3 linked regions of the Callithrix jacchus genome follow. The protein of the gene in region 2 interacts with the protein of the main gene of each other region in a pairwise test. Links are inferred from orthologs where the notes say so. Each region holds a gene or a part of one and is shown on either strand. Other genes may lie near its edges.

What was found.
Region 1: the proteins of NDN (region 2) and TFIP11 interact in a two-hybrid assay, tested with the Homo sapiens proteins (2 studies listed by BioGRID and IntAct). The link is inferred for Callithrix jacchus from reciprocal best matches to the Homo sapiens genes NDN and TFIP11.
Region 3: the proteins of NDN (region 2) and EID1 interact in binary tests that used the Homo sapiens proteins (3 or more experiments, as listed by UniProt). The link is inferred for Callithrix jacchus from reciprocal best matches to the Homo sapiens genes NDN and EID1.

Annotation. Positions count from the first base shown.
Region 1 is NC_133502.1:197,239,427-197,243,526, forward strand, and holds the start of TFIP11 (tuftelin-interacting protein 11), read right to left. Parts: upstream 2,882-4,100; 5' UTR 2,801-2,881; intron 2,712-2,800; exon of another isoform or gene 2,685-2,711; 5' UTR 2,530-2,684; intron 603-2,529; 5' UTR 594-602; coding exon 385-593; intron 1-384. UniProt on the Homo sapiens protein: Involved in pre-mRNA splicing, specifically in spliceosome disassembly during late-stage splicing events. Intron turnover seems to proceed through reactions in two lariat-intron associated complexes termed Intron Large (IL) and Intron Small (IS).
Region 2 is NC_133507.1:5,529,843-5,533,683, forward strand, and holds NDN (necdin), read left to right. Parts: upstream 1-1,311; 5' UTR 1,312-1,399; coding exon 1,400-2,365; 3' UTR 2,366-3,211; downstream 3,212-3,841. UniProt on the Homo sapiens protein: Growth suppressor that facilitates the entry of the cell into cell cycle arrest.
Region 3 is NC_133509.1:36,624,976-36,628,589, reverse strand, and holds EID1 (EP300-interacting inhibitor of differentiation 1), read right to left. Parts: upstream 2,314-3,614; 5' UTR 2,229-2,313; coding exon 1,653-2,228; 3' UTR 582-1,652; downstream 1-581. UniProt on the Homo sapiens protein: Interacts with RB1 and EP300 and acts as a repressor of MYOD1 transactivation. Inhibits EP300 and CBP histone acetyltransferase activity.

The DNA of each region.
Region 1 (4,100 bases), on a different chromosome or scaffold from region 2:
ACCGCGTCTCTATTAATAATACAAAAATTAGCTGGAGGTGGTGGCGTGTGCCTGTAATCCCAGCTACTCCAGAGGCTGAGGTGCAAGAATCACTTGAACTCCGGAGGCAGAGGTTGCAGCGAGCCAAGATCACGTCACTGCACTCCAGCTCGAGTGACAGAGTAAAACTGCATCTCAAAAAAAAACAAATAAAATAAAATAATTTGGTAAAAGAACAGCACTCTAGCCTAAAGAGGAAACTGGACCTCTTGAGGTGATGTCACAACTAACAGTCTCAATAAGGCCAGGTGAGAAGTATACTTATCAGGGGATCCCCTCCACTCCCTGTCCATCTTTCTCCTCTTCCCTAAAGCAAGGTGAAGCAGCCCCCATGCCAGGCAATACCGTTTGCCTCCAAAGCTGGGCCTCTCCTCATCTGAGTCTCGCTCTGCCCACACCCCATAGGTGGCTTCTTCCTTGGTCTGCCAGTGGCGCTGTCGGTTGGGGTTGAACTCATTCTGGAGATCCCAATCAGTGATCTCAAAGTTCTCCCGTTCATCATCATCATCATCAATGCGGTCTTCCCCATCCCGGTACAAGTGGGACAGTGACATGGCCAGTCACTAAAGGAAGAGATAAAAAGGGCACAGTCCATAATAAGTCCTGGGGGCAGCAGCAGGAGGATTCCTCTATTCCTTGCTGCCTTCAGAACTTTCTCCAAATTTAAAGTCCATTAAAATTGGCATTACTGTTCAATAAAGTAGATATTAAAAACATATTTTTAGAAAACAATCAGTACTAAAACGGGAAAAAAATACCAGTCCCAACAGTCTATGTTTCTTTAAAAGTATGTATTTCCTTGTCCTAGTCAATATCACAAATATCACACACATTCACACATACATAAACCACACAAAAATATCTAAGTAGGTTATTTTATACAGTATTGCTTTAGAAAATGAGTGGATATCTTCTTAGATCCCAGATTCCTTTACTTTTTCTATTACTGAGGTAAGAATTATATCTGGATCCTTGGTGGTCCAGGAGAGTGACTTTTTTAGAATATGCTTTTTAAAATACACTACTTGATGAAACATAATTTTTAGTTTTCATTGCAAGACATGTATTTCTTCTGATGAGCTAAAAAACTGTAGTAATTATGAACACTATTTTAATAGTCAGATATCCAGGGATTGAAATAAAGAATCTACCTCATGGTAGCTGGGGGATGAGATTCAGTTGTCTTTCTTAAATTGGGATAAACTACTATACCCACCTTAGAGAATGCTTATAAGGTGAATTCAATGAGTTCAAAATAAGTGCTCAAGAAACCATAGCTTCTACTGTAGTCCCATGATTAGGTTAATCATTGTATTAGTCAGGGTTCTCTAGAGGGAGTGAACTAATGGAATATATATGTATATATATATAGGAATATGTATATGGAATATTATATATTCTGTTCCATATATATAGTTATATATATTCCATTAGTTCTGTCCCTCTTAATTCCCATATATATATTCCATATATAAACTCCATAAACTCCCATATATATATAATATATATATATGGGAGTGTATTAAGGATAAACTCACACCATCAAGGTCCTACAAAAGGCTGTCTGTTGGCTGAGGAGCAAGGAGAGCCAGCCGGAGTTCCAAAACTGAAGAACTGGAAGTCTGATGTTCCAGGGCAGGAACCATCCAGCACCGGAGAAAGATGAAGGCTGGGAGGCTAGGCCTCTTTACATTTTTCTGCCTGCTTATATTCTAGCTGTGCTAGCAGCTGATTAGATTATGCCCGCACGATTAAGCGTGGGTCTGCTTTTCCCAAACTACTGACTCAAATGTTAATCTCCTTTGGCTACACCCCCACAGACACACCCCAGGATCAATACTTCATATCCTTCAATCCAATCAACTTGACAGTATCAAACATCACAATCATTACTATTATTGGACTAGGGAGTAAACTTAAAGTGATTGCAAAATCAGGCATGCTAAAATCAAAGCCTAACTTCAAATTCAACTCTACCAGATACTCAGTGTATGAGTATTAAATGCACACGAAGTGCCAAGCCTGGTGCACTACACAATAATACATTCAATAGGTGACAGCAATTGTGATTCTGGTCTTCCTGAAAGCGGCCTTAAGGCATAAGGAATTCCCTACTTCCACAGGCCAGTGTCAAACTCTGGTCAACTCTGGCAAAACGTTATCCTTGCCTTCTAGTCACTGGTGCCCTGGTTGGGTGCAGCTGGTCCCAACCTCTTCCAGGAATGTATACAAAGGAAAGGGTCTCAGAAGAGGTGGGGAATCTCAGATATATAAGGTTAAATAATACCAATGTCTCCGTGGACACAGGGAGTGGTGATAAGCCCTGAGTAGCCACAAATTATGAAGTCCTCATCAGTAGAAGCTAGGTACATGATGGTCGCTTGAGCCCTATTATCAACTGTGTGCATCAAGACACTTTTACAAGGCAGTTACCATTAATTTTCATGCTTCAGGTAAGAAAAGGGAGGTTCAGAGAAGTTAGTAACTTACCCTAGGTTCCACTGCTTATAGGGCTCAAACTCAGGAGCGCTAGAAGCCAGGCCTCGGGCTTGTCTCTCTCTTGCTGTCTAGGTTTGGCGAAGGAGGCTCAGGTTCTTGACTGACCCCAACCAGCACCGCCCTTCTCCGTGCCTCGACAGAGCTGTCTGCGAAATGGAATCCCCTCCCCACCCCTACATCGGCTTGGGCCGAGGCTCGCCTTCCCTGAGCCGGAGCCCTACTCCCACTGCCCCTGAGTCCCCTCGTGGCAAGCCCTACTCACCTCTCCGAGGCTCCAGCGTACCAAACTCAACTTCACAGTCCACGGAAGAAGGCAGTCTCTCCTACGCCAGACCCCGGATGCGCCGGAGTCGGCGCGCCGGAAATGACGTTGTCGACAGCGGATGTCGCGCTGGCTGCAAGGGCAGGATGGAACGCTGCGGCAGATTTGCCTGTAGAATGGCGGGCTGGGATCTTAGAAAGGAGGGGTGGATTTGCAAGGACCAAAATGATGGCTGGGGCGTGGTTTCCCCGTGAAGTGGGCCTCCCTGCTGCGCCTGCTTCGCACTGCGACGCTCAGCCTGTGATGACTGGTGTGGAATCCGCTGAGCCATCTTGGCCTAAGGAGACTTTGCCACTCTGAGATTGTAAATCTGTAAAATAGAGATGTAGGATTAGCCCATAGGGTAGTTGTGGTACATACTGTGAGATGATAGGGTGCCTGGGACACAGCATTCAATTGGGTATAATGAAGATCAAAACTGTGTCTCTTGTATCTTTGGCTCTGTCTCATAAGCACCGTCTTGGGCACAGGGCAGTGTCCTTTATGCAGGAGTTTAAGAGGGAATGAAGGAATAATGGGCAAACTCTAGAGTTCCCAAGTATTCTCTCCAGGAGACGTTTCCATTCTCATTTCCAGCAGGTTTGTAAATTCATTCATTTATTCACTGATTTAATTAAAATATACTGAGTGCCCCTCACCTGTGCTAGGCCAAGGAGATATAGTGAGCAGAATACTCCTGGGCCCTCCCTGGGAAGCCCTCACTATCCCTGGGCTCTGTGTAGACATTTAACTATACACAGGCTCTGGAGTTCCAAACTTGACTCTGCAATTTAGCAGCTGTGGACCTTGGGCAAGTCTAAGAAAACACGTAAGTGAGTTTTCTCTTCTGCAAAATGGCTAAGGATTCAATAAGATAAAACTGTAGGCCACAAAAACTGTGCCTGGCACACAGTAGGTGCTGAGAAAGAGTCAGCTATTAATTTTTGCTTATTTTTCTCTCTGCTCTATGTGATGAAAAGATCCAAGAGACAATTGTTGGAATGTAAAAAGAGCATGGGACTTGGAGTCAAATACTTACATCTACCATCAAATGGTTGTTAAGAATTAAACAATTTTTGTGTACCCAGTTAAATGTGGGTTTCTTAGCAATGGTGACTGTGTCTTAATGATCTAGTATTCCTAGTGACATGTAGAGTAATTGTGCCTGACACATAGTATGTACTCTGGAAAGAAATAGAAAATGTAGTTTTAGCATTGAAGCCTGGGAGAGAGGGTCTAACAGACTACAAGGCCCACCAGG
Region 2 (3,841 bases):
ACACCAACCTGCTTGAGGAAAATTAAAGTGACAAATGAGAAAAGATAGATACTCATAGTGAGGACTCTAGACATGTCAAGACAATTTTAAAACATGCTTTGGGCTTCAAGTGGCAATAACTAGACTCGAGACAACATATTTAAGAAGCTGCTGATGAGAGGGAACCCGGCAAGGGCTGAAGGACCACATCAACGCAGACCAAGGATGCTGAAGCAGCATGGAGGCCCCTGGTTGTGGAGGCTCCAGCAATGCCCCTTTTTCCACGGACAGCCTCTAGGAGTGACAGCTTTGCCTTGGCCCACTGGGAATCTGTTTTCTATAACTGGAAAACAGGGCTATCCATATGTTGCCCCCGCTACCTTTTGGTCATCTGAGACACCGCCAGATATTGCCCATGGGACCTATATCTTTTTGGAGATCTCAGGAAGGAATGATTTGGGTGTGACTCCCAACACTGAGGACTCAGTAGCTTCAGAGAAGGTCCTGGGAGAAGGTGAATCGGAGAATGAGGTGCTGGGCAGAGGGAAAAATGCATTATCATACAAGTTTGTGCTAATAGATATGGCAATCCTTCTGTTATGGACTAAGCATGGAAAAATAAAAGAAAATGGAATCAAAGTGACTCAAAGTAAGTGTAAAAGCCAAACCTATGCCCATGAAAGCATCAATGATGGTCTAAGCCCACTGCCTCCTGAACAAGTTCACGGCTCACGCGGGTAGGAAATCACGTTAACGACACGCTGCATTTCTCCTTTCCTTATAACCGCATTTCTCCTTTCCTTATAACCCCTCTGATGTGGTAGGGAGGGAGTCAATCAACTTTTTATTGGAATTTCTCAGGATTCCAACCTCGGACATCCGCCTCACAGTTTACACGTCTTCTCGGACAGCCCGACCGTTCCTCTCACTCGTTCACATAAAGCTCCAGTTTGCACAGCCTCCCAGACCTTCCTCTGGGGCTCTCATACTTAACTGGATTCTGGATATACCCAGGCGAGCATTTCCCAGGAAAGTCGACCCCAGCATCCCCAAAACCTGAGTTATCATCTTTCCCCAAAACCTGCTCCTTCTCCACAGGCATCCATCTCCCTCCTCTCCTACCCTGAACTTCCTCGGCCGGAACAGGAAACCCCGGGATCGCTGTCCCGCCAGGTGACGCCTCACCGCGGACCCTCCCCGTCGGGGCCCCTCGCGGCCCCGCCCGCCCCCGGCCGCCCGCCCGCCCTGGCCGCGGTCGCGCAGGCGCAGTGCCGCGTCCCGCCGCCGCCCCGCCCTGCCCGCCGCTGCGGAAGGCGCCGCGCGCAGCAACGCGCACTTCCTCTCCAGGAGTCCGCGGAGGGAGCGCAGGCTCGAAGAGCTCCTGGACGCAGAGGCCCTGCCCTTGCCAGACGGCGCAGACATGTCAGAGCAGAGTAAGGATCTGAGCGACCCTAGCTTTGCCGCCGAGGCACCCAGCTCCGAGGCGCAGAGCAGCCCTGGGGTTCCGGGGGGGGTTCCTCCGTCCGCGACCCTGGCGGAGCCGCAGAGCCCTCCCCTAGGCCCGACGGCCGCCCCGCAGGCCGCGCAGCCGCCCCAGGCCCCGATCGAGGAGGTCGACCCGAAGGCTTTGCTGGAGGCCGCAGAGGAGGGCCGCGCCCACCAGGCCCCGAGCGCGGCCCAGCCCGGCCCGGCGCCGCCCGCCCCGGCGCAGCTGGTGCAGAAGGCGCACGAGCTCATGTGGTACGTGCTGGTCAAGGACCAGAAGAAGATGATCATCTGGTTTCCAGACATGGTGAAAGATGTCATCGGCAGCTACAAGAAGTGGTGCAGGAGCATCCTGCGGCGCACCAGCCTCATCCTCGCCCGGGTGTTCGGGCTGCACCTGAGGCTGACCAGCCTGCACACCATGGAGTTTGCGCTGGTCAAAGCGCTGGAGCCGGAGGAGCTGGACAGGGTGGCGCTGAGCAACCGCATGCCCATGACGGGCCTCCTGCTCATGATCCTGAGCCTCATCTACGTGAAGGGCCGCGGCGCCAGAGAGAGCGCCGTCTGGAACGTGCTGCGCATCCTGGGGCTGCGGCCCTGGAAGAAGCACTCCACCTTCGGGGACGTGCGAAAGCTCATCACCGAGGAGTTCGTCCAACAGAATTACCTGAAGTACCAGCGCGTCCCGTACGTGGAGCCGCCAGAGTATGAGTTCTTCTGGGGCTCCCGGGCCAGCCGTGAAATCACCAAGATGCAAATCATGGAGTTCCTGGCCAGGGTCTTTAAGAAAGACCCCCAGGCCTGGCCCTCCCGATACAGAGAAGCCCTGGAGGAGGCCAGAGCTCTGCGGGAGGCTAATCCCGCTGCTCACTGCCCCCGCAACAGTGTCTCCGAGGACTAGCAAGGTCTGGAGGCAGATGAAATGCTTTCTGACCCTCACCGGGGCTGTGGAAGGGTGGGGGTGGGTCATTAGAGTGTTCGGGATTTACAGTGCAGTATTCACGTGTAACTTTTAAGTTTTCAGTACAGTGCTTTTATACCTTTAATGCAATGTTGTATTCATTTGGGTACTCTTGTGTAGTATTTAGGATGTATGCATGTTTGTTTATATGTAAGCTTGGTTGGTGCTTTCGCTTTTGTGCTACCTTTCTTGGATTTTTGTACCTGAGACATGCTAAACTGACGAAGTACCTTGAGAAAGTTTGCATCTTATTATTTTATATGGGACTGGTGATGTGTGTTGGGGTAGACTGCTCCTGCAGAGTTTGGAAGAACTCACCAGCAAAGCTGGCCTAACCAAGAGAAAAGTCAAGGCTCTTCGTGACCTTGCTGGGCACAGAAGACATTCTCGTGGAGTAAACTGATTTGAACTGGACTGGTCTCAATGTGAGCACTTGGCACAATTTACTAAACACATATACAACCCTACCGTGAGTCAACTTTAAAGTAAACATTAAAGATTCTTGTGATACAATCATTTTTGGAAAAGTGTACTCTTATCATTTTAACAGAGCACTATGATTGGGAATGAGACAATTCTCTATTTTACAATGTGTACAGATGTAACTGTTTCCCCTAATAGGGTGGGAAAAATCGCTACTCGTGATTACTCCTAAATTTGTGAAGGTTATAGTTTTATTGTCTTTAAATGTAATTGTTTATTTCAAAAACATGCACAAATATAAAGTATAAAAACAAAGCAGTATGATTGTCCATCATCACATCATATGAGAATAAAAACTAAAAATAACTTCCTTCCCTTAAGTTTCTATATTTTATCAAAATTAATGGATGTCTTGTGGGCACTTAAAGAGTGAGACATTGTACTCAGCCCTAACATGTATTTTTCCCCTTTTATTTAACCCTCACAACAGGCCTGTGAGGAAGGCATCTACTGCCTTTGCACCATGGAGGAAACAGGAATAATGTAGGTAATTAACTTTCCATAGCTTGTAAAGGTTAGCAAGAGAAGGAGCTGGCACTTCAACTCAGAATGAATCCAGAGCCCACATTTGTCCCCACCTGCCTACAATCCCTCATACACCCTGTGGCTTTTAGGTTATTTATTTTCAAACTTATTTTTACATTTTACGTGGGAGCCCACACTCCCAGCTCCCACCTCCCACACTCACATGCATTCATGGGCCACACAGAGAGAGAGGCTAGGAATTTTATTTTTCTAGTTCTCACAATATTTTGGAGAAAGCAAGATTATTCTGATTGTGTAAATTAAGAAATTTTCATCTTGTTTTTGGAATTTCCAGCCAAAAAAATATTTTGTGGAGAGATTAATTAACATAAGAAAGTGATATTCATTCTTGTTTAGCAGTGAAGCCTGGATTTGAAACAGTGTTTCCTGAGGGTTGGAGGTGAAGGT
Region 3 (3,614 bases), on a different chromosome or scaffold from region 2:
AGGCTGAGAAAGCAGTGGAAGAGATCGTAGGATTAAGAAATTTAAGCACCAACATTTTACTTCCACCATCTCTCCCTCCCAACTCAGCTAATGTCTGAGCAATTTTGATCATCCTTGTCACACTCCTATCTTTTACAGATCCCTCTCCCCAAAAGACAGATGACCGTAAAATAAATTAGGCTCTGAGTGGTCCTGTTGCATTGGATATATGTTCTTTACTGCTACAATGGAGCAGAAGCATCTGGAATCTTTTTACTGATCATAAAACCTGCTGATAAACTCATTTTGCTGAGCATAGCCTTCTGATGTAATTACACTCCTAAAACTTCAGCATCTTAGTAAGATAACCACAGCAACATACTCATTGACAGGGCAGGTTTTCCTAGACCAGCAAATTCTTATAGGTAAAAACTTAATTTACAAAATTTAATTTCCAGAAACAAATTTGTGAATTAGATATCTTAAGCTGGATCATTTTCCCTTAATACTAATTAAGTTTAAATCAAGTGGTTGCAATAATACATACAATAAAAAGTAGTATACAGAGAAAGTATGTATGCAATACGATCAACCAAACAAAATACACAGAACAAGAAATTTTATTATCTCCAATGCTGGTGCATAACAAATAACAAGCTTAAGAGGAGGAGACAGAGGGAGGGAAACTTCAGATTACAAGGTAATTTTTGGGCAGGTTTAAAACCTTTAAGAGTTGATAGAATAACTGTTCATAAAGTCTTTTTAGATATAGGGCTTTTTACTTGACAACTTTTATTAACAGTTCTTACAATATGAAGTTCAACTAAAGTCTTTCACCCGTCAAGTCAAAACAGCAAGCAAAACAAAATTTCTCTAGTATATAACAGCGTTAGAAATGGTTTTTCTTTGTACATTCACACACAATGTCTAGATTTGAAACTTTTAAATTAAGGATGTCTTAATTTTTGACTTTTAAAAATGGTCTTGACAATGGATTTTCTTGATTTATAGATCACAGTGGCTTTATAAATGATCAAGATACGTGTACAAACAAAATTTCAAATGCTTTTGGAAACACATCTTAAGACATATAGCACGTGATATATATTTGAGTTTGCTCATCCTTTTGGGATAATGAAGACTACTCCATTTATCTTACACTGAAAATTTAGCCTTTGATAACTATGGCTTGAACAGATCACAAAATAGAATTTTCCAAGTTTTCTTAAGCTTTCAGTCCAAATAACTCAAAAGATATGTGTCCTAGTTGGATACATTTTTTTCTCATATAATCAGTATCAGTGGGCTCTTGTCTTGGTTTGTCTTGGTCATGACTTATTCTTGCAAAACCATCTTTACAGCAAAACAAATATGAAAGATATTTTCCCCAATGCAAGGAAAATAATCTGGATCAATAACAAAGTCAAAGCCATTGGTGTTTTAGGACATTCTTGAGAACAGACTTCAACAGTCTAAACATCATTTTTTCTTTAATGATTCTCTTCTTTTTTCACAACTGTACAGTCACTATCCTATTGTCTTCTATTCTGAAAAACACATTTTTTTGAAGGTCAAGTTTTTCAATGGCACAGAACTATTTGGAATGAACCCAAAAGATACCGGAAAGTTGGGTCCCTCCTCAAGTAGTTTCCTCCTCTTTTAACAGCATGTAACTACTCTCTATCAATAATCTCATCACAGCCGAGTTCTTCGGTCAGACGATTGACAACCATCAGTGAAAAAAGCTCTTCGATGAAAGCTAACTGATCAAACGGGGTCTTCTCATAATGCATCTGAAACCCGCCATCCAGGGCTGCTTCTCTTGCTCTGGTTGTTCTCAGAAACATCTTGTTGGCTTCTTCGAGAGCTGCTGATACTCGGTAGCCGGCACCACTAAGCTGCTCCTCTTCCGGATAGTCGTAGTCGTCCTCCCAGTCATCAAATTCCTCGCCCTCGTCTTCGCTCTCGAAGTCTGCGCCCGCCACCTGGCCTGGCTGCTCCCCAGCGTTGGGCCCGTTAGCAAGGCTCCGCTTCCCCTCTGGCGCCGCCATTGGCTGGGCCGCCTCCTCCTCCATTGGGCCTTCCTCCTCTAGCTGTGGCGGGGCCCGGTTGCGGGAGGGACGCAAGGATAGCTCCCGGCTCCCGCTGCCTACCTCCATCTGCGGAAGGTCACCCTCGCCAGGCATCACATCCATCTGCAGGTCACTGTTCTCCTCATACAGCTCAGACAGCTCGGCCATTTCCGACATTGTGCAAACCGCTCAACCTCTCGGAAAAAGCTTTCAGCAAGATAGAAACTGCGCGGTCGTGCGCCTGTGCGCGTGCGCAAAGTCTGTGAGCTTGCGTAACCACTCGCGCAGGCGTAGTCGTCAGGTACCGCCTCCTACTTGGCGCTCCACTGCGATTGGAGGCAGTCAATGTTTTTCCCCGGGTGTTAGCGTCGCTTTTGAGCTGGGTTTCCACCTATTAGAGCTTCGTAACTAGGGATCCTGCTTGCAAAAGCATTACAGTTTCTGTGTTACTTAACCATCCTGCTGCTCGTGATGCTGCAAACTGTTAAATAACCTAACGTGGCTTTTTTAACACCTGATGCTTCTCCCCTCCTTTCTTCCTCCTCCTTTGGGCAGTTTATCTATGTGCTGATGACTTCTAAATCTACATCTCCAAATCAGACAACATCCATAACCACAGATCAGCATATTAAGAACTAATTCATTCTGCCGTTTTAGTGTTGTCATTACAATAGTTGTATTCACAAACAACAGAAACGTTGTACTTTTTTTTTAAGTTAGCCTGAAGAAATATTTGGTTCCATTTCTTTTCTCCTGAAAGGTATCTTTCCGCTATTATCAATGCGGTGTGTATTCTTTAAATTCTTTTTATTTGCGTTTACATGTATCTTTATGTATTCATAGAAAAAAATACTATTTTGTGTGTTTTTTAAAAACATGTCTTACCTATCTTCAACTTAAAAGCTGAATCTTTTGTGTATACCTCTATGAATTATAGGACTATGTATACTAACATGATTCAAGCACATTTCGTTTATTCTCTTTATTTCTATTATTATTACATTGGAGTATATAATGAAATAATTATACAACTCCCCATAATGTAGAATCAGTGCGAGCCCTGAGCTTCTTTTCCTGCAACTGGACAGTCCCATCTGAGAGTGATGAGACACAGTGACACCCGAGGTGTGTTGCTTATGTCCAGTCTATTCTGTAATCTCGTTTTGGTTGCTGCTACTGCAGAAAACCCTGCCTCACAAAGATAGAATGTTGGAAATGGAAGCAGGCTTTTCAGTAATTTTGTGGCAATCTCAGGATATTCCTCCTTGACTTAAATGAGAACATATAGAATGAGGCCAGCGTCATCCTGATACCAAAAAGAAAAAAAAAAAATCGAACGTATAGAGATTTGAAGTCTCAAACATACTTTTAAGGCCTCTGTCATTTTCAATATCAAGCAGTTGATCCTCTTCTAGCATGACAAAGTGGATTCACCTGGATTATTCGCAAAAGGGTCACAGATCCATTCTGTCTTTTGTGAATGGGAAGTGTGATGGTTAATACTGAAATTCAACTTGATTGGATTGAAGGATACTAGGTATTGATCCTTGGTGTGTCTGTGAG